7 linked regions of the Kluyveromyces lactis genome follow. The protein of the gene in region 1 purifies or fractionates together with the protein of each later gene. This does not show direct contact. Links are inferred from orthologs where the notes say so. Each region holds a gene or a part of one and is shown in the gene's direction. Other genes may lie near its edges.

The links.
Region 2: the proteins of SDA1 (region 1) and REA1 purify together in Saccharomyces cerevisiae (affinity purification with mass spectrometry; 4 studies listed by BioGRID, with this or other methods). This does not show direct contact. The link is inferred for Kluyveromyces lactis from reciprocal best matches to the Saccharomyces cerevisiae genes SDA1 and REA1.
Region 3: the proteins of SDA1 (region 1) and NOG1 purify together in Saccharomyces cerevisiae (affinity purification with mass spectrometry; 6 studies listed by BioGRID, with this or other methods). This does not show direct contact. The link is inferred for Kluyveromyces lactis from reciprocal best matches to the Saccharomyces cerevisiae genes SDA1 and NOG1.
Region 4: the proteins of SDA1 (region 1) and ALB1 purify together in Saccharomyces cerevisiae (affinity purification with mass spectrometry; 4 studies listed by BioGRID, with this or other methods). This does not show direct contact. The link is inferred for Kluyveromyces lactis from reciprocal best matches to the Saccharomyces cerevisiae genes SDA1 and ALB1.
Region 5: the proteins of SDA1 (region 1) and TIF6 purify together in Saccharomyces cerevisiae (affinity purification with mass spectrometry; 3 studies listed by BioGRID). This does not show direct contact. The link is inferred for Kluyveromyces lactis from reciprocal best matches to the Saccharomyces cerevisiae genes SDA1 and TIF6.
Region 6: the proteins of SDA1 (region 1) and LSG1 purify together in Saccharomyces cerevisiae (affinity purification with mass spectrometry, with the first as the bait; 3 studies listed by BioGRID). This does not show direct contact. The link is inferred for Kluyveromyces lactis from reciprocal best matches to the Saccharomyces cerevisiae genes SDA1 and LSG1.
Region 7: the proteins of SDA1 (region 1) and NUG1 purify together in Saccharomyces cerevisiae (affinity purification with mass spectrometry; 9 studies listed by BioGRID, with this or other methods). This does not show direct contact. The link is inferred for Kluyveromyces lactis from reciprocal best matches to the Saccharomyces cerevisiae genes SDA1 and NUG1.

Annotation. Positions count from the first base shown.
Region 1 is NC_006037.1:498,645-503,424, forward strand, and holds SDA1 (Sda1p), read left to right. Parts: upstream 1-1,452; coding exon 1,453-3,732; downstream 3,733-4,780. Other genes in the region: transcription factor TFIIIB subunit BRF1, read left to right, coding at 1-900.
Region 2 is NC_006042.1:1,851,258-1,856,113, reverse strand, and holds the start of REA1 (AAA family ATPase midasin), read left to right. Parts: upstream 1-1,684; coding exon 1,685-4,856. Other genes in the region: FIN1 (Fin1p), read left to right, coding at 1-93; REX3 (RNA exonuclease), read right to left, coding at 85-1,521. UniProt on the Saccharomyces cerevisiae protein: Nuclear chaperone required for maturation and nuclear export of pre-60S ribosome subunits.
Region 3 is NC_006041.1:2,149,724-2,154,081, reverse strand, and holds NOG1 (putative GTPase NOG1), read left to right. Parts: upstream 1-1,391; coding exon 1,392-3,323; downstream 3,324-4,358. Other genes in the region: Sec63 complex subunit SEC62, read right to left, coding at 31-771; DTR1 (Dtr1p), read left to right, coding at 4,240-4,358. UniProt on the Saccharomyces cerevisiae protein: Involved in the biogenesis of the 60S ribosomal subunit.
Region 4 is NC_006041.1:1,345,109-1,347,966, reverse strand, and holds ALB1 (Alb1p), read left to right. Parts: upstream 1-1,554; coding exon 1,555-2,037; downstream 2,038-2,858. Other genes in the region: DUF5427 domain-containing protein MTC1, read right to left, coding at 1-894; ribulose-phosphate 3-epimerase RPE1, read right to left, coding at 2,174-2,858. UniProt on the Saccharomyces cerevisiae protein: With ARX1, involved in proper assembly of pre-ribosomal particles during the biogenesis of the 60S ribosomal subunit. Accompanies the pre-60S particles to the cytoplasm.
Region 5 is NC_006040.1:175,407-178,644, reverse strand, and holds TIF6 (translation initiation factor 6), read left to right. Parts: upstream 1-2,000; coding exon 2,001-2,738; downstream 2,739-3,238. Other genes in the region: KLLA0_D02068g (uncharacterized protein), read right to left, coding at 164-1,381; SEC9 (Sec9p), read left to right, coding at 3,098-3,238. UniProt on the Saccharomyces cerevisiae protein: Binds to the 60S ribosomal subunit and prevents its association with the 40S ribosomal subunit to form the 80S initiation complex in the cytoplasm. Is also involved in ribosome biogenesis.
Region 6 is NC_006042.1:641,056-645,422, reverse strand, and holds LSG1 (ribosome biogenesis GTPase LSG1), read left to right. Parts: upstream 1-1,545; coding exon 1,546-3,492; downstream 3,493-4,367. Other genes in the region: RRT2 (diphthamide synthase), read right to left, coding at 124-1,383. UniProt on the Saccharomyces cerevisiae protein: GTPase required for the nuclear export of the 60S ribosomal subunit. Acts by mediating the release of NMD3 from the 60S ribosomal subunit after export into the cytoplasm.
Region 7 is NC_006040.1:1,173,284-1,177,538, reverse strand, and holds NUG1 (RNA-binding GTPase NUG1), read left to right. Parts: upstream 1-1,869; coding exon 1,870-3,462; downstream 3,463-4,255. Other genes in the region: SUA7 (transcription factor TFIIB), read right to left, coding at 1-938; PAC2 (Pac2p), read left to right, coding at 3,838-4,255. UniProt on the Saccharomyces cerevisiae protein: GTPase required for 60S ribosomal subunit export to the cytoplasm.

The DNA of each region.
Region 1 (4,780 bases):
ATATCTCATGTTGCAGAGGAAACGCTTCAGCAAAGATTGAATGAGTTTAAGAATACAACATCAGCTAAGCTCTCCGTGAAAGAGTTCCGTGATGATGAAACTGAGGTAAATGAGGGTGAGAGAAGTGCCGAATCGAAACCTCCTAGTTTCGATAAGAACAGACTAAAGGAAAAGAAAATAAAAGATTCTTTGGATACTAAAGAGATGTTGGAGACAAGCGAGGAAGCCGTGTCAAGAAATCCAATTTTGACTCAAGTGCTCGGAGCGCAGGAACTATCGTCTAAAGAAGTCCTTTATTATTTGAAGAAGCTTTCTGAACGCAGAAAAGCTGAATTCAGTCGTATAAAAGCTACGCATGGAATCGATGGAGAAGACTTACACAAAACTGAGAAAGACAAGAAACGTTCCCTGGATGAAATTGATGGATATAGTCTTGAAAAGGATCCATATAGACCAAGAAATTTACATTTATTACCCACCACAGCTTCTCTGCTTTCAAAAGTCAGCGATCATCCTGAAAATTTGGATGATGTTGATGATGCAGAATTGGATTCTCACTTGTTAGATGAAGAAGCTTCCAAATTGAAAGAACGTATTTGGATTGATATCAACGGTGATTACTTGATTGAACAAGAATCAAAAAGACTCAAACAGGAAGCAGATTTGGCCAGTGGGAATACTTCGCTACGAAAAAAACGCAGCAAACGTACTAATAGAAACCAATCCAGTGCAAGCATCGTCAAAGTTCAAGTCGACGGACTACCGCTTGATGTTTCCGTGGATGACGCTGATGCTGTAGATGTTGTCGCAGCTGGAGGTGTCAAGAATCTATTACAAAAGACGACTTTCTCAAAGAAGATCAATTACGATGCTATTAACGGTCTCTTTGGACAAAAATAGTTTCTACGTCGTCACTGTTTCTCTTCTCTTGTACGATATCCATCAGATCAAACTCAAGAAAATTATATGAATACCAACTGCTATTTACATATCGTTACTTGATACAGATGTCTGTTTTTGCTCTTTTTTATTTTAATATTTTACACTAAATTGGTGTATCAATTTCATTTCGATTATATTTTTGGAACTATATTTAAACGGCGTACATAATTTATAAACATTGCAAACAAATATTCGTTTGGTGTGGACTATTATTCATTTATGGAACACAATAATAAGCTACCATCAGTATACCATTTTGCCTATTCAGATATTAAAGAGCCTTAAACCCACTTTTTGCCTCTGGTTTCTTCTTTCCGTACCGTGAGTGAAAAGAAATTTTTTAGAAGGAAGAAAATTTTGAGATGAGATGCGATGAGATAGAACCTATGTATGAACAAAGTATATCACTCCGAGACAACTAAAGTTGCCTAACACTATTCGAACTTGTGCAAATCAACTAAGTATTTCCGAACAGTGAAAAGGAATCACATAATCAAATAAGAAACAAATATGGTTAGGAGATCTCGTGCTGCTATTCTACCGACAAACATTATTCTCTTGCAGAACCTTGTTAAGCGTGATCCTGAATCCTATCGTGAAGAGTTTCTACAGCAATATGCTCACTACCAATCATTAAGAGACATTTTCATGTTAAATTCGGTCAACAACGAGAGCACTGATGAAAGTGCAATGGCTGAGTTTATGGGAGCAATTGGATTTGTATCTCAAGTTTGTTCCTGTTATCCTCGTGAAACGGCAAACTTCCCAAACGAATTGAAACAGTTAGTATTAGATCACCACAAATCGCTTCCGTTTGACGTGAAAGAAAAGATTATCACCAGTCTAACTATGTTGAGAAATAAGAACGTTATCAGCCCTGAGACTTTGATTCAAACTATGTTCCCATTGCTTATTGCATACTCTTCCCCTAGTAATTCGATGGTCCAGAATTCTCACGCCAAAGAGCTAAGAACTTTAATCTACAACACTCTAGTACAGTTGATGAAATCTTGTAACACCAGTGGTAAGAACCAAAAATTAAACAAATCTACCCATGCGTTGTGTTTCAATTTGTTGGAACAGCCAGATTCTCAAGGTATATGGGCATCGAAATTGACAAGAGAGTTATGGAGAAGAGGTATCTGGGACGATTCAAGATCGGTTGAAATTATGACCCATGCTGCACTACATAACGATGTTAAAATTGCATACAGTGGTGTCTTGTTCTTTTTGGATGCTGATAAAGAGCGTGAAGAAGCGTTTGAAGAAAACGACGATGAGGATGAAATCGATACTACCGCTTTGAAGCACAAGCTCCAGATCAACAAGAAATCTAGTAAAAGAGGTAAGAAGCTAGAGCAAGCACTTAAGGTCGTAAAGAAGAAATCTGCTAAAGGTGTTCAACAGAATAATTTCTTAAATTTCAGTGCCATCCATCTATTACGTGATCCACAAGGGTTTGCCGAGAAATTGTTTGAAAGACATCTAAGTGGTAAGAATTCGAACAAATTTGATTTCGAACAAAAGACTGCCATCATGCAATTATTATCCCGTTTAACAGGTACACACAAGTTAATGGTTCTTGGACTATATTCATACTTCTTAAAATACCTGACGCCAAAGCAAAGGGACGTTACCAAGATTCTATCTGCTGCAGCCCAATCCTGTCATGATCTTGTTCCTCCAGAGACCATTGAAGTGATGGTGAGGAAGATAGCCAACGAGTTTGTTAGCGACGGTGTTTCAAATGAGGTTGCCACTGTGGGTTTGAATACAGTCAGAGAAATCTTGACTCGTGCCCCATTAGCTATCGATGAGACTTTACTACAAGATTTAACCGAATATAAGGGCTCCAAGGCCAAGAGTGTCGCCATTGCTGCTAAGGGTTTGATTGCATTATACAGAGAAGTTGCTCCGGAGATGTTAAAGAAGAAAGATCGTGGTAAGACCGCTTCTATGGGACTACAGGACGACAAACGCAATGGCAGGGAATCCAAACGTGTCAAGTTTGGTGTCGAGACTACTAATGTACAAGGTATAGATGGTATTGAGTTACTAGCGAAGTGGAAGCGTGAGAACGGAAACGAGGAGGATGATGATGATGAGGCTGCATGGGATTTGAACAACCGGGATGAATTATCAGATGCTTCGGATGTAGAAGGTGAGTGGGTGACGATAGAAAGCGATAAAGAGTACGAAGTTGACATGGACTCTGACGATGAGGAAAGCAAGAACAAAACAGGTCATAAGGGTAAGAAACGTTCCCACGATGAAGTCGAACCGGAAGCTGGTGAAGATAGTGATTTAGAATTATCCGGTGATGAAGAAGAACCAAAGGTGGGAGAAGAGCAGAAGGAAGAAAGTGAATCCGCTGACCCAGAAGAAGCTTTCCGTGAATTAGCATCCAGTCGTATCTTAACACCAGCCGATTTCGCTAAACTTCAAGAACTACGTACTGAAAAGGGTGTTACTAAACTTATGGGGATCAACAACGAAGAAACTATTGAGCATTACAAGCTTATGGGTCCAGCCAAGCACAAGAAACAGAACAAAGAGGAAAGAATGGCATCTATTATGGAAGGTCGTGAAGACCGTGAAAAATACGGAAGTAAGCGTGGTAAGCGTGACAGTTCAATGAGATCAACTACAAATAAAGAGAAATCTAGAAAGAAGAACTTTGTGATGATGATCCATAAGAGATCTGTGAAGGGTAAGCAAAAAATGTCGCTTCGTGACAAACAAAAGGTCTTGCGTGCTCATATCACGAAGCAAAAGAAGAAAGGTAATTAAACTAGATGGCATGGCAAAAGTAGTTATATTAATTATAGGCACTTGTAGACACAGCATATAAAAGATAGAAAAAAAAGACACGTCAGTGTCACGTGACCAACTCATTTTCTCCATTTAGCCCAGTTTTGAAGTTGTCCTTTCAGCCAATGTGATATCACCATCCGAGACCACTTGTCTGCTGCTCATATCCCAGGTCAAAAAGGACTATTAACACGGCTTAACGGTGTGCCAACGGTTTTGGACCGAGAAGGACATGATCTAACAGGGAAAAAAAAAACTCGAAAAGAAAAAGAGACCACTACAGGATGTTTGAGGAACTTCAGCTTGAATGGAAATCTCGACACTATCAGCTATATTCATGCGTCGGCATTAAGCCTTCTTCGCATCACGGGCTGTGGCCCGTGATGCTGGCCCGCACTAAATGGGGCCGGGAAGGCATATGTTCCAACGCGTTACTCTCGAGGGAACGATTTACTACTGCCTAGACTAGCTCGTCTCAGTATTATTCAATGTAGTGCAGCAGCATTCACCTGGGGTGATGTCTTTACAATAAAACCTATACAGTACAACAAGAGCCGACTTTAACTCACAATTGAATGATGAGTCGTCAGTGAAGTAATCGCAAACGCAGTTAAGACGAACTATTGAAACGGTCGCACCTATGTATTCCTGTGTTTATTTTAATCTACCATTGATAGCCTCTTGTCTTTTACTTGTTAAGTTTCTATTTGTATGGGGTACAGTAGTAAGAAATCAGGCTTTCAGCCTGATTTCGATGAAATTTCGTCCATCCGCCCTAGAATGAGGCGCACGAAGATGTGCCCAAACAGATGGTAGCATTGGGAATTTTTCACTTCGATCAAACCACACAAAGCCAGTATCTCACACTACCAATCCTGTATATTTCTTGTTCTTATATGCTATTCCATATGATCACATTTCTGTCTCTACCAGTCATATACATATATATATATATATATGTATTGTAATCTGCGTCGTTACAAAATACAAGACATTACAAGATTATTGCTGGACCTACGCCAATTCA
Region 2 (4,856 bases), on another chromosome or scaffold:
CTAAACGAAATGAGGAAATTAAACGAGGCGTTAATCGCTCGAATAGAAGAACTAGAGCAAAGAATGGCTAGACTAGAAGATAGATTACCATGACTTCTTATCCAAGGGGATACTCAATTTTTTTTTAATGACATCCATTGCCGCAATAGCATCTTCTGAACTGTCATGTTCTCCTCCTTGAATTCTACGACTTAAGATTTCAAAAGACAAGTTCTTCAAAGAGGATTTATACTTACCTGCTGGATACAAAACGGCAGTGTCTATTACTTTGTCATGTACTATGCGCATTACTCGTAAATCGTTATCCAAACCATGTCCTATAAGTATGCTATTTTGATTGATCATGCTAGGACAGATGTAACATTTTTCTGCTTCATGAATTGTAGGTGCAGTATCATCTATATGATGAATCCCACTAAATTTAGAATTTAAATCTATAATTTCGCCCAGTGGCTTTATTACCTTGTCATACACTACTTCTGAGGACCAGAAGTCAACTATTGTAATTCTAATCATTTCATACCCTTTCGATGTGAAAGCCATCTCACAGTCTAATGCCAAAACGTTCTCTTCGCCTTTGATATCAACGAGAGATTTAAAAGGGACCACACTCGACAGTTTTGTGAAATTCTCCCATTTGTAAACGTGATTTTTCGCTTTCATACACCCTGCAGATATGTCTGAATATGATTCAAGGGAAGCTCCACAACAAGGAAATTCTCTTTTTTTAGTTTCTCTGTTATATACTTTCCTTTGAAGGTGGTACCGACATACTGTCGGTTCCATAATTTTTGTCACATCAAATTTAGTTTCACATCTATAGCATTCCACATAATCTGATTCTGATTCATTGATCGGATCAGTGTCATACATCTTGACAAAAAATCCGTTCCTACTGAGTGTTTCCTCGTCGAGTAGCAAAGATCGTAGTTTTTGCAATACGTGGGACCTTTGTATTAATGACGAACTATTATTCTTAGGTTTGCCAGTTTTATCAAGATTACCCTTATATTTAACAATATCTCGTAATAGAATGGAAGCATTGAACGCGTAACTTTGTCTTGTTTTTGCTATTTTAGCAACCTCATGTTCCCAAATAGTCGATGCCTTTATAATGTGAGGGCTGCTCGATTGAAACCTCTTTAACTGTGTGTATATCTTTTGGACAACTCTAACTCTGTCTTGATACGGAGCAGGTTGCATTTTCATGTCAACCGGACGTAAAACTGGATTACCGACCATAATTATTGCATACAGAGGAATGTATCGGAAGACAATGGAGTTCAGATGGATTGTAAACTTTAGGCTTGCTGTTAATGGCTCTCTCAAAGCATTCTTTTCTCTTACCCATCCATTTTTCTTTTGCCGATGAGATGGATTGCAGGTATATCTTTCTTTCACTGAAATATTTATTTCTTTTTGGTGTTTTTCTGTGCTCTGAGAATTTTTTAAACAAAAGCGATGAGATGAGATGAGATGAGATGACTTTAAACAAACTGCCAAATTGAGTGTAGGATACATTTAACTGCAGATCCGCTATAGACTTAGCAAAGTAAGGCATATCACTTCTTTCACAGAGTATCAAAACATCGAAACGGATATTTTCTATTCTGCCTCTGTTTATTGACTAGGAAAGAAAGAAGAATTGCTTATAAGAGGGGCGAAGGATTGAATTACTATAGCCATGTCCTCTGCATTAATTTATTTAGATGTTACTGCGGCCGAGGAAAACTTCACTATATACCAGAAGGCTTTTACTCAGCAGCACTTGTCTGACTATTATAGATTTGATGCCAAGCTTTCAACCGATGAGAACTTGTCGAATTTAGCATTTTCCTCGTTAAAAGAAGATTTAACGATTCCTCATTTATACATTTACAAGAATATATTCTTGGACTGTTGCTCTAGATGGATTTTGCAACACGACTCCAAGAAGTTTGTCACGGTATTACACGCATTGGGCAGAATTGCAAGTTTATATCCGGAAGCTTCGCAATTGATCGAAGTGTTCTTGCTCAGAAATGGTGACTACTTTAACGCATTGTTACAAACTTACCAAGCTCATGATCCAAAGGACATCGAGTTGATCCTTTTGGCTTATTATCGATTGATTCAGTATGACAAGATCAGATTTGAGAGATATATCAATGCTCAAACTCTTAATTCACTTTTGGCACACCAATCTACAATCATCAAATTTTTGTCATTAAAAGTTCTTAATATGCTTATTGAAATGGCAGAGCACGCCTGTGAACTTGTGGTCCAAAATCAACTTAAACTGTCAACTGAACCTATCTTAAGTGTATTTGAAGGTGCTTCCGATGTAGATTATCAATTTTTGGAACTTACTGAAGCTAAAAGGCTCTCAAATTACCATAGTCTACCAAATGAAATCAATGAACTTGTTTCTTATCCAAAGAACTTCAGACCAACTGGAAAATCGTTCAACATCGATATCAATGAACTTTCGTCGTTGATTGTTGAAGTATGTGGTGTATTTATTGCCAGAATCTCCGAAGCACCTTCTAATGAAGAACATCTAAAGTCAGATCTAGTATATACGGATGGTGCCAAGTTGGCCTTACAAAAATTGGCCGAAGGTATTCAGCGCAACAAGCCTGTAATGCTTGTGGGTAAGGCTGGATCAGGTAAAACATTTTTGATCAATGAGCTTTCAAAAAAAATGAACTGCGATAGTTCTGTTGTCAAAATTCATTTAGGTGAACAAACTGATGCTAAACTACTTTTGGGTACATATACATCAGGTGAAAAACCCGGTTCTTTTGAATGGAGATCCGGTGTTCTCACAACAGCAGTTAAAGAGGGACGATGGGTACTTATCGAGGATATCAACAAAGCGCCAACCGAAGTCTTGTCTGTTCTTCTTACCCTTCTTGAAAAAAGAGAAATATCCATTCCATCTAGAGGTGAAGTCATCAAAGCTGCCAACGGTTTCCAGTTATTAGCAACAATAAGACTAGACGAGCACACCTCCCATGGTGGCATTACGCATGAGTCTGACCTGATTGGTATGAGATTATGGGAGAAAATCCTTGTAGATGAGCCGTCTGAAGACGATTTGAAGCTTATTCTACAAAAAAGGTTTTCTTTGTTAACTGCCTTAATACCGAAACTTATCAGCACCTACAAATCTGTGAAAGATATTTACAGAAATCCACAATTTGTTTCATTGAACAAAGGTGTTCAACCAAGAATCATTAGTGTTCGAGATTTAGTTAAACTAAGTCAGAGAATCACCGAACTTTTTGAAGCTAATCAAGTTGTTAAACCGGATCAACTTATCGAGTCGTCTATCTATGATGATATTTTTGCTGAAGCTGTCGATTGTTTTGTTGGTTCGATTAGTGAATATGGAGCCGTACAGCCCTTAGTACAGAAAATTGGAGAAGAGCTTGAAGTTTCAGTTTCCAGAATCACGTTGTTCTTGAACAAGCATGTACCGGCAATCGAAAAAGCTGGTGATGATGTGAAAATTGGAAGAGCTCACCTAAGAAGACCCAAGTCAACTATTCATAAAAAAAGTGCCAACACTACATCGTTTGCGTTTACCAATCATTCTCTTCGTTTAATGGAACAAATTGGTGTTGCCGTCAAAATGTGTGAACCAACATTATTAGTCGGTGAGACCGGTACTGGTAAAACTACTGTAGTTCAAGAGTTAGCAAAGCTAATGAATAAGAATTTGACGGTTATTAACGTTTCCCAGCAGACTGAGAGCGGTGATCTATTAGGTGGTTACAAGCCTGTGAATTGTAGGACTGTCGCAATTCCAATTCTAGAAGATTTTGAGGGGCTTTTCCTTGCTACATTCTCTTTGAAGAAGAACGAGAAGTTCTATAAACTCCTCCATAAGTGCTTCTCCAAGGGGCAATGGAAGAACGTCGCTAAACTTTGGAAAGAAGCTATTAAAATGGCTGATAGCATTCTAAAAAAGGACTCAAATGAGAAAGAGGAAGCTGACAAGAAAAAAAAGCGTAAACTCGACCCTGAGAGTAAACAAGCTTTATTGGAAAAATGGAAGGAATTCAGACAAACAGTTGAATCATTTGAATTACAATCCTCTACTTTGGAAAACTCGTTTGTGTTTAATTTTGTGGAAGGTTCTTTGGTGAAGGCTGTCAGAAATGGAGAATGGTTGTTATTGGATGAAGTCAACTTGGCCTCGGCAGACACGCTTGAAAACATAGCTGATTTGCTTTCAGAAAGTGACTCTAGAAGTATACTTCTATCTGAAAAAGGTGAGGCAGAATCGATAAAAGCCCATCCAGATTTCAGAATTTTCGCTTGTATGAACCCTGCTACAGATGTCGGTAAGAGAGATTTACCACCAGGTATTCGATCAAGATTTACCGAAGTTTATGTTCATTCTCCTGACCGTGACATCTCTGATCTATTGTCTATCATTGACAAGTACATTTCAAAGTATAGCGTAAGCGACGAATGGGTTGGTAACGACATCGCTGAACTTTATTTAGAAGCAAAAAGGCTTGCAGAAGCTAATAAGATTGTCGATGGTTCCAATCAAAGACCCCATTTCAGCATCCGTACATTGACCAGAACATTACTTTATGTCACGGACATTGTACATATTTATGGCCTAAGACGATCTTTGTACGAAGGATTTTGTATGGCATTTTTAACACTGTTGAATCTACCATCAGAGGAATTATTAAGGGGGATTATAGAGAAATTCATCCTAGGTAGAATAAAAAATCCACATTCTGTCATGTCTCAAATTCCTCCTTCTCCAGGTACTAATTATGTTCAGTTCAGACATTATTGGATGAAACAAGGACCTGCTGATATTACACCACAACCTCATTATATCATTACGC
Region 3 (4,358 bases), on another chromosome or scaffold:
AGTCTGGGATGGAAGTCCGTTACATTGAAGTTATTTTTGCTTCTTTGCAACTGATCTATGCTTTCTCTTTTCTTTCTTCAGGAAGCTATAGCATTCCTTTTCACCAAATCCATATAGCGGTTTGAAACTTTCTATAACACCGCAATCTTCGAACAAGTTTGGGAAGAGCCAGAACCCACCCTTCTCGCTAACTGCAGCTAATGACAACAAGTAAACTATCAATCTCACAATTGCAATACCAAAGAATACACCGATAAGTGCCAATGCTGCAATGGATAAGTAGTAAGTACCACGTTTCATATATGGAGGCCATAATGGGTAACACACGAATGCTAGCACACCGACTATGATACCGATCACAGTCAAGTAATCATAAATTGATTTTGGATTATAAGACCAGACGTAATATTCATCTGGTTGTAGAGTCGCTTTATTCGATAATAATAAGTTTGGATATGATTTGTTTGGCTTTAGACCATGTTCTTTACATTCTGCAGAATGTAATTTAACCGCTGGTACGACAAATTGGGCCTTGATTAAGGAAACAAAAATGTTACGAGCATCTTCATCGCTTGTCACAGCGGGGTACAATTCGGGTTGTTTTTTGGACTTTGCCTTATATTTATCACTTTTCAAAGCTCTAACAAATCTTTTATAACGGAAGAAGTCAACTAAACGCGATTGGAACAATCCTTGTCTTTGCTTCAAGTCGCTATGAGTCCTGAGTAGATTGGCAATGGCTATCGTAGATTGTGGGCTTGGTTCCGACATAGTAACGAAACAAATCTATATTTGAAGAGAAAAATTCAAAAAAAAAAGGCGGATAAGGCAATTCTACCGGAAATTAGGCAATTATCAGGTAGTGATTAGAAAGTTATAATGAATCTAGAGATTGGACTCAAGCTGTATTCTTTCAGATCAAAATCTCATTGATATTTCTGTATATATTGAAAGTTGAAACGTAAACCGTAAATAAAATGTTCACATACATTTTAACAGTAAAATATATTGTTACCCCGACAGTCTCAAAAGAAAGTGCTTTAGTCACGTGACATAACCAATGTGTATGCCTTTAACGGTCAATTCTGAGATCCATACGAAAAAGAAATCCTGAAAGCACAATTTTTTTTTTCTTTTCAAAGGTTTGCAGTAGTGGGAAAATTTTCCAAACGGCAAGCTCATCTCATCTCATCTCATCTCATTGTGCATTCGAAGTGATAGACAGAGCTTGATTATCAGTGTGACATCCGTTTGACAGGTAGTTTGAATAGATTGGAAGTTTGTTCAAACAACTAAGCATAGCTTAACTGCATTATTGCTAGTTTAATTGTTTTTTGTTGTCCCCGTGTGTGCGTGTATCCCAAAGTTTACGTCAAATCAATTAAGCAACAATGCAATTATCCTGGAAAGATATTCCGACCGTGGCTCCTGCCAATGACTTGTTGGACATTGTGTTGAACAGAACTCAAAGAAAGACACCTACTGTTATTAGACCAGGTTTCAATATCACTCGTATCAGAGCGTTTTACATGAGAAAGGTGAAGTTCACCGGTGAAGGGTTCGTGGAAAAATTTGATGATATTTTGAAAGGTTTCCCTAATATTAACGACGTGCATCCTTTCCATAGGGATTTGATGGATACTTTGTATGAAAAGAATCATTTCAAAGTTTCTTTGGCTGCTGTGAGTCGTGCTAAGACATTGGTCGAACAAGTTGAAAGAGATTACACAAGATTGTTAAAATTCGGTCAATCTCTTTTCCAATGTAAACAATTGAAGAGAGCCGCTCTTGGTAGAATGGCTACCATTGTGAAGAAGTTGAAGGATCCTTTAGTGTATTTGGAACAAGTTAGACAACATTTGGGTAGAATGCCATCCATCGACCCAAACACCAGAACTTTGTTGATTTGCGGTTATCCAAATGTGGGTAAATCCTCTTTCTTGAGATGTATCACTAAGGCTGATGTCGAAGTGCAACCTTATGCTTTCACCACCAAGTCGCTATATGTGGGTCATTTTGATTATAAATACTTGAGATTCCAAGCGATTGATACTCCAGGTATCTTGGATAGACCTACGGATGAAATGAACAACGTCGAAATGCAATCCATTTATGCTATTGCTCATTTGCGTTCTACTGTTATGTACTTCATGGATCTATCAGAACAGTGTGGTTTCTCTATTGAAGCTCAAGTCAAATTATTCCATTCGATCAAACCATTGTTTGCCAATAAATCCGTCATGGTCGTCATTAACAAGACTGATATCATTAAACCTGAAGATTTAGACGAAGAACGTAAGAAACTTTTGGATACTGTTTTGGAAGTTCCAGGTGTTGAAATCATGACCACTTCTTGTCATGAAGAAGATAACGTTATGGCTGTTAGAAACAAGGCTTGTGAAAAGTTGTTGGCTTCCAGAATTGAAAACAAGCTAAAATCTCAAGCTAGAATCACTAACGTCTTAAACAAGATCCACGTCGCTCAACCTCAAAAGCGTGATGATGGTATTGACAGAACTCCATATATTCCAGAAGCCATCGCTAAGATGAAGAAATATGATCCAGAAGATCCAAACAGAAGAAAATTGGCTAAAGAAATTGAAATCGAAAACGGTGGGGCCGGTGTATACAACGTTAATTTGAAGGACAAGTATCTATTGGAAGACGATGAATGGAAGAACGATGTCATGCCAGAAATCTTAGATGGTAAGAACGTTTATGACTTCTTGGATCCAGAAATCGCAATCAAATTACAAGCTTTAGAGGAAGAAGAAGAAAGATTAGAATCTGAAGGCTTCTATGAATCCGACGAAGAAGAAACTTACGAAGGATTTGATGCTGACGAAATCTCTGAGATCAGAGAAAAGGCAGAATGGATTAGAGATAGACAAAAGAAGATGATCAATGCTTCAAGAAACAGAAAGGCATTGAAGAACCGTGGTACCATGCCTCGTTCTAAATTGGCAAAGACATATGGTGACATGGAGAAGCACATGTCTTCTTTAGGTCACGATATGACTGCTTTGCAAGATAAGCAAAGAGTCGCTGCTGAAAAGAACAGATATGAGCAAACTGGTGCTGACGTGGTATACGGTGATCAAGAAGATTCTGCTCCAGCTGGTAAGCTAAGACAGACAGATAGATTGACAGACGGTGTTGCTGATGGTTCAATGAGATCGAAGGCTGAAAGAATGGCCAAATTAGAAAGAAGAGAAAGAAACAGAATGGCCAGAGCCGGTGAATCTGACAGACATGCTACTGCCTCTCTACCAAAACATTTGTTCTCAGGTAAGCGTGGTGTTGGTAAGACTGATTTCCGTTAAACTGTCTGTTCTTCCTTCCTTTCCATCACTGGTGATTTCGAACATATATTATCGTGTTGCCAATTTCTTTTCTATCTCTATTGAACTATATATATTAGTCACTACTTTCATTTATTTGTCTGCATTGGGTGGGTTAAATTTAATTATTACTCCTTTATTTGTAAAATAGTTACGTACTCTGTAAAATTATAAGAGTTATACCTTTGATTTGCTTTTCCTTGACCAAATAACCAACATCCCTCTGACCTCAGTAACAATTTTATCTTTGAAAGTTATTGACTAATCTTGAAGAATAAAAAGGATGAAAATTGTAGGATCTAAATAAAATAGAAAAAAAGGAAACACTGACATAAATATTTCACCAAAACAATCTCAGTATACCTGGAATATTTAACCGTCGACCAACATCATTTTGCTTGAGTTATATTTGATTGCCTCTATTATTTCTCTATCGGTTTATCAGGCGACAGTTTTTTTTTTCTCTCTCCTATGTGCCCTTAGTACAGGGCAAGAAAAAAAAGGACGGCTTCACAACACACATCTAGGTAGGCCTCTTTCACAAAAAATTGACTCTCAGTAACATATAAGCCATGAGATTTTAGCACTTGAAAGTACGGGTGACATAAAAGCTCCAATAAAACTCTACAAAACGATATATGCTCTTTGTATATGTCAATTGTAAAAGGTGCTTTCCGTCTGAAAAGTGTTCGTATGATTTTCGAAGAAAAATTCCCGGTGTCAGTTTTAAGATGTCACAAAATGAGCAAATAAGAGAGCATTGAGCTATAAAGACTCATATTGAAGGTAAAACAAGATATTCAGTTTTGCTCTAACAACGCTTTGGAGCATATCCAAGACCATTGGCTCAAATACCAGATTTTATAAATAAAGAGTCTTAATTTATCGCTATACAAGTATGGGCGTGAATCGAAGTAACAGTATTCTATCATCAGGGTCTCACAACAGCAAGACAATTCAAAATATCGAAAAAAAAATGGAAGGCTTACCATCGCCGTTGATTACAGCCTCTAATAT
Region 4 (2,858 bases), on another chromosome or scaffold:
CAGAATGCTGACAAAAAGATCGCTTACTTTACTCACTGGGTTACTGGTTCTTCTCGATTGTTTCTTAGCAGTCTCCCACGTCTTGATTGCATTGTCAAGGTTGGCCAAGCATAATTTTTCACCGTCAACGGCTTTACCTTGGAAAAGGTTCAAGTTAACGTTATCATCCACTTTCCTGCCGTGATCCCATTCATCAGCAAATATTCTTATTCCACCTTGCACCTGTTGCGATAGTAATCTTTCGAATTGGTCTTCCACCTGATACGTAATCGTTTCCTCGTTCAAATTGTGTAAATCATGAACCAAATGAATTCTGATCACTTCATCCGTTTCACCAATGACAATCTTAGTCAATTGTGAAGTAAGCCCAGAAATGACATGAGACCCCTGCAATGCCGTTAATCTGGCCCCTATGTCGTTTATTTTCAAGTTGCCCTCTTGAGTAGCTATCTTCTCTTTCAATTGATTGGCTTGTTCTGTGGTCTTGTTCCAGAAACTGGATACTGTAGCAGAACCGCTAGATGACCACCAATTGGAAATTGACGCCAGTGGGTCCTGAACTGCCTCTTCACCTTCTTCTGCCACATGTTCTTCTTTTCCTTTCTGTTCACTCGGTTTCTCTTTACTGGCTGTCTCTTCTACAGGTTTCTCGTTCGATTCTGGCTTCTCCTCCGGTTTCTCTTTCTCTTGCTTCTTAGAGGATTGTGGCTTGTCCTTTTTGGACGGTTTCTTCTTAATATCCAGGTTACTATTTTCCAATTCGTCTAAGAATTCCATAATATCCTCATCCTGGCCGCCGTTCCCACTAACCTTACCCTTTCCCTTAGTGTTATTAGCAGTACTGGCTGGTAAAGAGTCTAAAAACTCTAGCACATCATCGGCATCACTAGTCATTTGGTGTTTTCTTTTTAAGTCTTTACTGTCGATAAAACTTGAATATTGATACGAATTGTTCAATCAAGAATCGATATATTCAAACTAGAAAATTATCGCTGAAAGGCAAGACAAAACTCCAACGGTTGAACTTAAACTAGCCTCCTAATCCTTGTGAACACAAGTATATAGTTTCTATCCTTTCTCTATTGTCATGGTTCCAACTACCGTGTGTTTTTTTCATGTATTGGTCCATTCTAAGGGTGGGTCGTATTTAAATATCCGGGTAACTATGTCACTTTCATTACCATGAAATAACGCTGGTATACATAAAGTGAGCAGTTAGCCGAAATGTAATGAGCACCGTGGCCTTTATCACCACCTATTCTTACCCCTTCCATAGATGGTGCTCTCCAGTACCAATGTCGGCATGTCTTGGCTTAAATCTTAGCATTTTTCATTAACTAATACCGTATCTATTTTGTACTGCCGTTTCTTTTCTAAAATTTTTCATCTCATCTCATCGCGAATCTGTTGAAAAGTTAATGCATCTCCATACCATGTACTTGATCCCCCGTTACTATTCACCTGTGCTAGCTATCTTGTTACTTGTTACTCTTAGTACTGGCTAGTATTCCTGGAACTACAAGTTAACGGTTAATCACAGTACTAAAATTCGAGATGCCATCTAAGAACTCCATTAACAGGCCAAAGCAAAAGGTTAACTTGAACCGTAAGGTTCATCAACGTGCTGCCAAGAGAGATGCTATGGAAAAGAAGGGTTTATTGGCACCAGCAAGATCTTCAGGAACATCTAAATCTGGTCAGTTGAAGAGTATACCATTGGATCTTTACAAAGGCGAGCATTCGACCTCTGGTGCTCTTACGACCAAGACTCTTTCGAAGAAAAGAGCAAAGAAGATCGAACGTAACTTGAAATACGTGGAACAAAGAAAACTATTAGTTGATCTACAATCTCAAAGTGAGGAAAACGGTGGTATGCAGATTGATGCGCCTGTTGTGAAGAAGGAGAAGGAAACCAAGAAAGGACAATTGGAAAAGATGAGAGAGGCTATTTCCACGGTGTTGGAAGATATTCAATCTCAAGGTTTATCCCTTCAGACAGGTTCTGGTACAACTCTAGGTGGTCAGTATTTCTTGTAGAGAGTCTTAAAAATCGTTAAATGGGGTTTGCATTGTCTATATAAACATTTTGTATACTAGGATAGATCTTAAACGGATCGTTCATTAAATATTATTCTGACATAAAAAAGAGTGCGTATATGTACTTAGGTACTTACTACTTTTCGTATAAACCTTTGGTCACTAATGCATCATTGACCTTGGTTTTCATAAATCCAATGACATCTGCTGGGTCGTGCGCGCGGAACACAGAGGTACCGGCAACAATGACATTGGCACCTGCCTCGGCAGCAAGTTCGACATTCTGTTTACCAAGACCACCATCGACTTGAATGTTCAAATTAGGAAATCTAGTTCTCAAGTCCTTCACTTTGCTCATCATATCGGCCATGAATTTTTGGCCACCGAAACCCGGTTCGACAGTCATTACAAGAGCCATATCCAGGGATGGTGCCAACTCGTACAACACATCCACAGGGGTACCTGGCTTCACAGAACAGGCAGCCTTCATACCATGCTTCTTAATTAGCTTAACCAACGCTACCGGGTCCTTTGTAGCCTCGTAATGGAATGTGAACTGATCGCAACCGATCCTAGCAAAATCTTCGACCCATCTTTCAGGTTCACTAACCATCATATGACAATCGAAGAATGCTCTTGGTAACTTGGTGTCTGGATCGTTGTACTTTCCGATAACTTTACGTAGCGATTCGACAACCGGTTGTCCCAATGACATATTAGGAACGAAGTGACCATCCATAATATCGATGTGTAACCAATCGGCACCAGAGTTAATCACATTGTGACATTCACAACCTAATTTAGTGAAATCACTGGCTAGA
Region 5 (3,238 bases), on another chromosome or scaffold:
ACAGATGATGCGACTAAGAGATAAGTTTATACAGTATTTTAATGATACGGGTTAACATCCCAGGCTTAGGATTTTTAGAGATTTATATAATAAAGGTTTGGAACTAGATGAGTTGTTTTGTATAAGGGTATTGATGTTGCTTATTATAGCGGAAAAGCTAGCGTCACAACGAATTAGTCAGTGACGTTGTGTTTTCCAAATCAGTTCCAGTTATACGTTCAGCCAAAAGTAGTTGTAAGGGATCTGAGAGGTCTACGTCCAGATCATCATCGGCATCCATGTCTTCCTGTGAAGCTGTCTTGAATGGTGTCAATTTGATATTTCTCATGCGTTTCTTTGCCGACCTTGCTGGTTTTGAAGATGAGTTTGAATAACCAATAGGTAGTATTTCAGGATTATGAGACTGTCGGTTCAGTTTTGAATCTGATTTTATCTTCAAAGGAACCTGTTGTGGCTGCTGATATTTCATTTCTCTTGCTGCCCTTTGGTTAGGATTTGGTAATTCTCCATATAGAGAAATAATCACATCCAACATCTGATCTCTGATTCGTTTCATGGAGCTATGACGTGGTATTTCATACTCTTGTGGATCCAAAAACAATGTTGCCAAGTAATCCATTTTTCTCTCCACTGTTTTCAACTCTAATTCTCTGTTCAACGCCGCTATATTTAATCTCTGTACCCTGAGTAACCCTAAGAGTACATTAGAAAATACTTCACATTTTTCGTCCTTCTTCAAGGAGTTATCATAAAACTTATCGAGCTCTTTTTCTATCGGGACCACTTCTTCATTTAAAACATGGGAGTTTTTATACATGTTGATGGAATCCCGAATAAAGGGTAAAATATTCCTAGTGAACAACATATGGTTTTTTTCCTTTCTTGATATTGTAGTACTAGCAACGGTTGAGGTCTCTCTAACGTCATTTCTATTCCCATCGTATGATGATGATGAGAAATGGGACACGTAATCTGAATTTGTCACTGTAGCCCCAGACATACCGGGAATTTTGTTGCTTTCCGGATGGTAGTACAAAGGGTCTTTTAAACTTGTCGTTAATCTTAGATCAATTGCAGGTGGTGTCAGTTTAGGTAAGAGCATTGACTTTAATTTGGAAATCTCATGGTTCTTCTGTTCCAATTCCAATTGCAAATGGAAGTTTTCGTTCTTTATCTTACTGACAATTTCTGTTGGCATTTCATTTTCCGTATTAACCAAAACTTCTGCTCTGCGATCCAAACAGACATTTTCATTCAATTTATCAGGTTTGCTCGAGACTTTATGCCTTCTATTCAACTTCGATGGGGATATTGCCTTCAATGACATTGCTTCCAATCCAGACGTCAAACTGCGCTCCGTTGTACTATTACAATCAGTCATCTTGGAAAGAGAAAAATGATTCAGTGAAACTTGATTCTTATGAATTGCTTGCCACTGATCGAACAGCTTTAAAATGTTTTCGTAAATGTAACTTACTGCAGGTTAGATACATGCAACATGCTTTTGTGTCAATATATTTGTTGTGAATGTGTCGCTTTTTCAGCTTGAAGCTGTTTAAATGTCGGAAATTGACGACTTAGTGAAGATATTCGACGCAAGTGCGGGTAACAAATAAAACACGCTCAGGTGTACGGTATACCCTGCGTTGAATCGTCTGGTGATCAGAAGAAAGAATGTGAAATGGAGAGCTATTTCTCGTCTAAGCTTCGAACGGTTGTTGGATAACTCTCACTGATCAAATTTATACATCTATAAGGGTACGAGATACCCATATAGTACTGTATGTGTGTTCTTCTCCGGGTAACCTAATTTGTGTTTCGTTTCTTTAAAACACTGCAATATGGAAAATTTTAAAGATTTCACTGGATAATTTCTAAGCTCATCTCATCTCATCTTGCGGATGGTTGATTCGGCTTGAATTAGTACAGTTCTTCTGACTTATAAACACTAGTTCTGCTTGTTACGCCAGTATACCACTGCAGATAAATCAACTGAAATTATGGCGACTAGGACACAATTTGAGAATTCTAACGAAATTGGTGTGTTTTCGAAGCTAACTAACTCGTACTGTTTGGTGGCACTTGGTGGTTCGGAGAACTTTTATTCTGCGTTTGAAGCCGAATTAGGAGATGCTATTCCTATTGCTCATACCACTATTGCAGGTACGAGGATTGTTGGTCGTATGACTGCTGGTAACCGTAGAGGGTTATTGGTTCCAACTCAAACTACCGACCAAGAATTACAACATTTGAGAAACTGTTTGCCAGATGCTGTGAAGGTTCAAAGAGTTGAGGAGAGATTATCTGCGTTAGGTAATGTTATCTGTTGTAATGATTATGTTGCTTTGGTTCATCCAGACATCGACAGAGAAACTGAGGAGTTGATTGCCGATGTCTTAGGTGTTGAAGTTTTCCGTCAAACAATTTCGGGTAACGTTCTTGTTGGTTCATATTGTGCGTTGTCTAACCAAGGTGGTCTAGTGCATCCTCAGACTACAGTACAAGACCAAGAAGAACTTTCCTCTTTGTTGCAAGTCCCACTAGTTGCTGGTACTGTGAACCGTGGTTCGCAAGTCGTCGGTGCTGGTATGGTCGTGAACGACTATTTGGCAGTTACTGGTCTAGATACCACCGCTCCAGAATTAAGTGTGATCGAATCTATCTTCCGTCTACAAGACGCTCAACCAGAAGCTATCTCTGGTAACTTGCGTGATACTTTGATCGAAACTTACTCATAAAAGGAATTGATACAATCGCTCTCTTCTGTCATTTATATCGTTTTGGCCCCCATTATCGCCCCATTTTTTAATGTAATATTGGTGTATATCTCTGGATCTGTATAGTACAATTTTTATTTTGATTGCTCTTTGGCATTTGCATCAACCCCATACTGTTTATTTCCTTCTTTCTTTTGTATTTTGTGCATCGTGGTTCACTAAGTACTACTGGACCCAAAAGAAACCTTTAAATTTAAATGAAACAAAAGAATCGAAAAGTTGTAGTTCCTTTAACATCAATTTTTAGATAGGTAAAGACAAGGTAAAAGGGGAACATCGATCAAATAAGGTTAAAAGGTTGCTGTTACCGTAGTGAAACCATGGGTATTAAGAAGTTCTTCAAGATCAAGCCACCTCCAGAGGCTACCCCCGAAGAAAACCGTGAATATTTGAACGAGTTAGGAATTTCCACCAAGACTACACCATCAAATAGAAGAGAAAAGTTTGCCGCATATGGGAAG
Region 6 (4,367 bases), on another chromosome or scaffold:
ACAAATGGTCCTATATTTAAAAAAGAATACATACTGAAGCTCATCGAAACAGCGAAGTGAGAACACATCAATTATGTCTCAATTCCGTCTGCTTTTTTCGTTCCTTTTAAAACTATATGTGTATTAATTTGGACTTTTCCAAAGTTGTAGGGACTTGTCATAAAAAGAACAAGTTGCAACTGTTTCTTTACTCCAATCACCACCGTAACACATTGATTCATGCCCTTCTTTTATAAACTGCTCGGTCACGAAATGATCGTTTTGGACGTTGACAACCTTCGCACCATTATACATGCAACAAACCATAAGTCTGTTATTTGACAGTCCGTCATTCGTTGGGGCCTCCGAGAATCTCCAAACACCACCCTGTAAATTGTCTTCCCATTTATTAACCACAGGGACGTCTGTCCCTGGATATATTGTGGTTTCTGAGAGCATTCTTAGATCAAAGGATCGTATATGGTCATCATAAGAGCCTGTGATTAAACTTGTTGGCTTGTTGCCTCTAAATGTCTCCCTAGCAGCCTTAATTGCCGTAACACCAGCTTGATGAATTTTTGAATTGGACCAGATCTTTTTGCCTGAATTCAAATCATGAGCTGCAATTGCAGAGTCGTCACCACCAGTGAATACAACATCTTTCAAAGGAGCCAAACAGCCGAACTCGCCGGTCCAGCACTCCAAAGAATGTTTGAAATGAAAGATTTGTTCATGGTCATTCTGAACATTTATAACTTTGATGTCTGCATTTGGCACCTCAATATAATTTATTGTTGAGGAGTCGAAATACGATGGCTCCACCTCCTCTATAAAGCATATTTCACCATGTATGATATCAACAGTAGCAAAATCCCCATTAGTAGTGGTTAAAAGTACGAGATTATCCAGCAATGGAGAAAACTGGAGAGACGTTATTAGACATGTGGGATCAAATACTTGAAGGTTGTTCAATAGTTTGATATCAATTGATGAATTATCATCGTCGACAGATATCGTCCACAGAATCATATTACCGGTTGAATGAGCTGTTGCGAGTAAAGTATCATCGAATGGATTGAGCTTCAAATCTAAAATTGCCCCATAGGTTTTTATGCTAGAAAGAAGGTTCAATTCTTTATCATAAACCTCAATAGAGCCAGTTCGATTGCCTGAGTCCTTATGCAAGAGATAGGTACCCACAATGATAAATTTCTCTCTTAAAATACACAAGCAACATGGAGGAAGACGCGTGGTAACCCTTTTATCAGCTGCAGTTTCTTCCATTCTGCAGAAACTCTTGACTTCTAATTTTGTCGCTCCTCTAAGGTGGTATGCAATACCTATGTTGGAGTCGTACTCTGCATCCTCATCATGCGGGTGCTTTTGTAAAGATTGTTGAGCCATCCATCTGTTCTAGTTCAGGTTTACCACACAATTTCTTTTTTACACTTTACGTACTAGCGGAAAATTTTAATATGTTAACCAGCTCATCTCATCATAAGCAAAGCATCAGCACAACAATCTTAGCAGTTAACGGCAGGTCTACAAGCAACACGGACTAGCAGCATGCCACCAAAGGAAACAACAAAGAAGTGGAAACCTCCAAAGGGTCCAAAGCCTATTCAAAGGAAGAATAAAAACACTATTGGGTTAGGTAAGGCAATTCAAACTGCAAGACGTAAGGAAAATGAAGTGCAGTATTTGCCAGATGGTGAAGAACGTTTCACTACCGATAAGCACGAAGCTAATTGGGTAAAATTGAGATCTGTTACTCAGGAATCTGCATTAGATGAATTTTTGAGTACTGCTGAGTTAGCAGACAAGGATTTCACAGCGGACAGACATTCTAATGTCAAGATCATCAGAATGGATAACGGTGCCGATGCAGCCACATCCCAGGGATTTAGTTTGACCAATGAGCAGAAAAGTAAGATCAACGAGAAGCAGAGATTACATGCTAGAGAGTTGATTGTCCCAAGAAGGCCTAAGTGGAATGAATCTATGACCAGATTTGAATTAGAAAGGTTAGAAAAGGAAGCATTCTTGGAATGGAGACGTAAATTAGCCTATTTGCAAGAAGACAACGAGGATTTGTTATTGACTCCATTCGAGAGAAACATTGAAGTTTGGAGGCAGTTGTGGAGAGTTGTTGAGCGATGTGATCTAGTAGTCCAAATCGTGGATGCCAGAGATCCATTATTATTCAGATCCACAGATTTAGAGAAATATGTGAAAGAAGTGGATGACAGGAAACAGAATTTACTTTTGATCAACAAAGCGGATTTATTAACAAGAAAGCAACGTATTATTTGGGCCAAGTACCTTCTCTCGAGGGGCATCTCTTTTACATTCTTTTCTGCTGCCAAGGCTAATGAAATATTAGAGAGACAAGAGGAACTAGGGGATGAATACGTTGAAGAAGAGGACGATGAGGAAATACTGGCTACAGAGGAAGAAATTGAAGAACTTGATGGGGAAGAAGTGAACAAAGAAATTCTGGATAAAATTAACATACTGAAGATCGATCAACTTGAAGAATTGTTCTTAGATAAAGCGCCAAACGATCCGCTACTTCCTCCATTGCCCGGTCAAGAGCCAATCATACAAATAGGTCTAGTGGGTTATCCAAACGTTGGTAAGTCTTCCACTATAAATGCCTTGGTGGGTGCCAAGAAAGTTTCTGTCTCTTCTACCCCTGGTAAGACCAAACATTTCCAAACTATCAAGTTATCTGATAAGGTAACGTTATGCGACTGTCCAGGTCTAGTTTTCCCTAATTTTGCATACAATAAAGGTGAATTGGTGTGTAACGGTGTTCTACCGATCGATCAGTTACGTGACTATATTGGGCCATCGACATTAGTGGCAGAAAGGGTCCCTAAATACTTTTTGGAAGCCATTTACGGTATCCATATTCAGACCAAATCCGTAGAAGAGGGTGGGAATGGTGAAGTACCAACTGCACAAGAATTACTCGTTGCTTATGCCAGAGCTCGTGGTTATATGACACAAGGTTTTGGTGCCGCAGATGAATCTCGTGCCTCTCGTTACATTCTCAAAGATTATGTGAACGGTAAACTCCTGTACATTAATCCACCGCCTCACATGGACGATGATACGCCATATACCAGAGAAGAATGTAAGGAATTCAACAAAGATTTATACACGTTCAGTAAATTACCTATCAACAGACAAGAGCAACTTGCAGAAGCTGCCAAACACAAAGGTATACAAGATTTGGATCTTGCTCGCGATTTAAGTCGATTAACGTTCTCTGCTCATATTGGTGGTGATGGTGATAAAGTACAAGCTAAATCTGTCAACCATGGTGGTAAACAAGCAGCCTTGTACAACGTAGCTGATGAACTTGACAAAAATTTCTTCCATTTGAACGGTGTTCAAGGCAGACTTACGAACCCTTTCCATAAGCAAACCGTCGCCAACGAAAATGGTAAGAAGCATAACAAGAAGAACAAGAAGAGTAAGAAAAAGGCTTCCATGTTTTCCGATTAATGTAAGTACTATCTAAATTCATCCTAAACTCTTATATATATATAAATCCACTGTTTGCACAGTCTATTATCCCCATTCATTATGGAAATGTAACTGCATATCCTTTATATCTTCCTTAGCTGCCCTGCTTCCGGTTATAAGACCTATGGTTAGCATGCAACTTGTCACTGCATTACCCGGTGTTTACTGAAAAATTTGATGAACCAAAAGAAAAGGATACAAAACTTGGTTAAAGTTGGTTTACTTTATACTTGACCTCAGTACATGGTCCAGTTGATAAGTATTCTTGTCATTTGTGGTTATCTTTTTGGTTCCTAGCTCAGCAAACAAGGGCTCTTAAACACATTTCGGCATGTTCAATTATGGTTCGCGTTGTGGTTATCATGGCGCAGACTTATTCCACGCATGTAGAAGTAAGCTCAAGATGCCCAGAGCTGGGATACTCCCATTTAACGCCCTTTTCGCTAACAACAACTGAATTCCTACAGTTTGTAGTTTGATAGTAGGTGGGCGGAAATATTACCCATTTAATTGGTTCAGTAGTTTCCTCTGAAATATTATGAGAGTCGTATGAATTTGTATATCAATAAGATTTAGCAATAGTTAACCAAGTTCAGCCTTATGTTATACTTACCATCGGTAGATACATTAAGTAGCACTCGGTCCACTCTTTCTTACATGCGCTTTTGTAAGGGTTGGCAAGGGTCATGCTTCAGAGTGAATGACTTTCATTCAGACAGCTCTGTTATTTCTTTGATTGAGGTTTGGGATAATATTTTAGTGACATAAAACAAAATGTAATATAGCCTTTAAAATAATACTTAGTACAATTCCAATCACAAATAAAAAGGGATAGCGCCTCGTTAAAGGACATT
Region 7 (4,255 bases), on another chromosome or scaffold:
CCTTCTGTGACTTGTAAAGTCTGAGAGATTCTTGTAGGACTGATATTCAATTTGAATAGTAGAGTTGCCATATAGATAGCTGCTGCTGCGATGGTGATAGGAGATCTACCAGCCAAGACATTGACATCCTTAGAGTGTTTCGCGATGTACTCTGCAGCATTAGCCACCTGCACTGAAAGGCCCAAATGAGAACAAAATCTAGGGATGAAAGTCTCTGCACTTGTCTGTCCTGTGGTGATATTTGAAGTATCAATATTGGCAAACCCTCTATCATTCTTTTCTCTTAGAATGTTCTTGATGATGGTAAACGTCTTCCCGATTTCCTTCTTCCGCACGTTAGTCAAGGATAAGATTTCCTTGAAAGATCTCCCGACCTCTGCTCTCCGACATCCGACAAGAATAACTGAAGCCATGATACTTTCCTGTGATTTCCCCTTCAAGACTCTCTCTTCGAAGCATAATTTATAAGCTTCTTTAGCACAATCTTTAACAATCTTGGGCAGTTCTGCAGCATCACACATCATAGTAATCTTCGCATATGCAGCTTGCAACTCGTTATCCTTCTTGTCAACGATAGATTTCGACTGAGCCCTATTCAAATCCCTAGTAACTCTAGCATCACTTCCCTGGGCCTGCCCGATACGTGTGGTTAAATGGTTTCCATCCAACAAAGGATTTGAAGCTTCACCAACACGACTTGGATCGTCTCCATTCTGATCGTCATTGCTAAAAGTACGCCATTCTGACCTGGTATCCACAATTCTATCCGATAAGACTAACCCACATAATGCACAGACGATATCACCTTCACTAAACCGTTCCACAACTTTCGGAGGATAAACTTTACATTCGGGACACGATATAACAATGTTCAAATTTGGCCCCCTCCTTCTAGATGAGACAGCTACATTTGCTGAAGCTGCTGCTGGCAATGACATAGTTTCTCTTTTCTCTTGCCTCGGTATATGACTCAGAACAGCCTAAAAAAATAGCTGGAAACTGAACGGTAAGAAGTCGAATGATGAGCCGCTAAGATAACTAAACTTAGGCGCTGCTTTTGTTATAAAAGAACAGAAGAAATACCGATTAACCAACTAGTAGACGGACAAGACTGTGTAAGTTGCAACTGGATAGCTCCTTATCATTTTAGTTTCTCAATTTCTAAGCAAAAATGCTGGAAACTCGACGGAAATATATATCACGTGATAAACGCCACAGAAACAACCGTGGCATGTCTCTTGTTTACGGTTGATGAAAATTTTCACGAGATCCGGGTAACAAGTAATAACTTCGCAGTTATTACTACACTGACTGGAAGTAGAGAGGATGAGAGATGTGGTAAAACAAGTTCCACCCTCGCAACTTCGTATCGTATATCACGTTATATCAGTTCTTATTACTGAGATGATTTTTGTTCCCTGCTAGTGTCAAAAAAAACTGCGCAACGGCTACTGGGCTGCCTTTATATGTACTGACAGTTTCACTGCCCTTGACGGTATTACTGTATATATAATGTTAAATATCTGCCTGGAAGTGCTCATAGATATACCAAATACGTCCCAAATATTATTGACACAAATTATGGCTTGCGAGTAGCATAAGATTGCCTCGTAATTGACGAGTATCCACTGTGTTTCCACTGTCGTCCGCCAGCAAAAAGAAATTCTTTTCTACTTTGAAATTTTTCAGCTCTTCGAAATATGTTAAAACCTGCGATGAGATGAGATGAGATGAGATGAGACTTGATATTTACAGAACACCTGTTCAAGTAGATGTTTCAGTACTGTTTTCCGTGATAAGTTCACCGGAACAGCTAAGATATCTATAATCCAGTGCAGTAAATATACCTTTTTCCATTAATCAAAAGAGATGGTGAGAGTAAGAAAGAGAACTTCCAAGAGAACTTCCACTCGTATGAAGGAGGGTATCAAGAAGAAGGCTGCTGCTCAACATAGGAAAGAGCGGAAACTTGCTAAGAAGGATGTGACATGGAAATCCAATAAGAGTAAGGATCCAGGTATTCCGGCCAATTTCCCGTACAAGAACAGGATCATCGAAGAGATTGAAGCGAAGAGAAGAACTGATTTGGAGGAGAAAGAACGTAGAAAGCAGGAAAGGTTAGAGGCTAAGAGAAGAACTCGTGAACTAGGTGAAGATGTTGGTGATGACGATGAATCTATGGATGAAGATGAAAACGACGGCAACAATGGTCTTTCTGCTTTGTTAGAATCCGCTCAGCAAGCTGCAAAGGAGTACAATGGGGAAGGTATCGATGATACAATGAATGGAGAGCAAGAGGATTTAGAGGTTGCTGAATACGACGTAGACTTTTACGCTGACGCAGATGATGATGATTCTGAATTAGAAAAGTCTAGAAAGGCTTACGATAAGATATTCAAGACTGTGGTGGATGCGTCCGATGTTATCCTTTACGTGCTAGATGCAAGAGATCCAGAAGGAACTAGATCGAGAAGAGTGGAACAGGCCGTGCTTCAATCCCAGGGTAAGAGACTAATTTTGATCTTGAACAAGATCGATTTAGTGCCACCATACGTGTTGCAACAATGGTTAACCTTTTTGAAATCCTCGTTCCCTACTATTCCATTGAGAGCTGCTCCTGGTGCCACTAACTCCACATCTTTCAACAGGACTTTGACTCAGGCTACAACTGCTTCAAGCTTGTTAGAAGCTTTGAAGACTTACTCCAATAATTCAAACTTGAAGAGATCCATCGTTGTTGGTGTCATCGGTTATCCAAACGTCGGTAAGTCGTCTGTCATTAACGCATTGACCTCTCGCCGTGGTGGTTCTTCTAAAGCATGTCCAGTGGGTAACCAAGCTGGTGTCACTACATCTATGAGAGAAGTCAAGGTAGATAACAAGCTAAAGATCTTGGATTCTCCAGGTATTTGTTTCCCAAGTGAAAATAAAAAGATGAGTAGAGTGGAACAAGAAGCAGAGTTGGCCTTGTTGAACGCTCTACCTCCAAAATTCATCATAGATCCTTACCCAGCTGTGCTCAAATTAGTGAAGAGACTTTCTAAATCTGAAGAAATGACTGAAAGTTTCAAGAAGTTGTACGAATTACCACCTATCCCAGCTGCCGATGCAGACTCTTTCACCAAACAATTCTTGATCCATATCGCCCGTAAGAGAGGTAGATTAGGTAAGGGCGGTGTTCCAAACTTGGCCAGCGCTGGTATATCCGTTCTTAACGATTGGAGAGATGGTAAGATCCTAGGATGGGTTCTACCCAATGCTTCTAAGGAATCTGCTGCAGAACATGCTGCTACATCTGGTGAAGCTAACCAACCAACTCTAGGTACTGGTGCTGTCGCAGCACCAGCTAAGGTGGAACAAACGACCATTGTTCAAGAATGGTCCAAGGAATTCGATTTGGATGGTCTTTTCGCGTCATTGGATAACGCCATTGAAGCTGAACAAGACAACTTAGGTAATTGAGAACACAGAAAACGAATTATTCTGCATCTCTATGAAATACGATCAAGGATCCTATTGCTTATTTTATTTCGCATCGTTAAAGCTATAGATTTAAAAGCTTATGTATTAGGATGTGAATTTGAACACCCGTTTCAGTCCACGCACCTAATAGACAATACACATTTGTACACTACTACATATAAATGATTTAATATCTTCTTCGGCAAGACGTTTTTGTCATCTCTTTTCTTTAGGTAACAAACCTTTAAATAATACTTTAAATGCCTACTAAAATCAAAATGTTTAAAAGAGTGAAGAAGAGAAATAATCCGTGAGTCTACCATACGAACTCCAGGCTACACTATGTGTACAGCGTGACTAAATCTAGGGCCAAATATGCAGATCAATGTCAATGATAGATTGAATATAGGAGGTGAGTTTTGCACAGTACGATACATCGGATCATTGCCAGAATGGCCTAATATCGTTGCATATGGTTTAGAGTGGGACAACAAGCAAAGAGGTAAACATGATGGAACGTTAAACGGAGTACGATACTTCAGAACATCCGATGGACAGAGCAGTGGCTCATTTGTGAAGGAGACTAAACTAGATACATCTCGGCAAGAGAGAACATCGTTTGAAGGTGCATTATTGATGAAATACGGTGATACTTCATCAATCGATATTACCTACAAATTTGGGTCGAAAGAGACTGAGTCATATGGATTTGAGCATTTGAATGAAATGAACTCTGATTTTGACAAGTTGGAAAGTATCACGCTATCAGAAAACAACATTTTCCGAGCTTTCA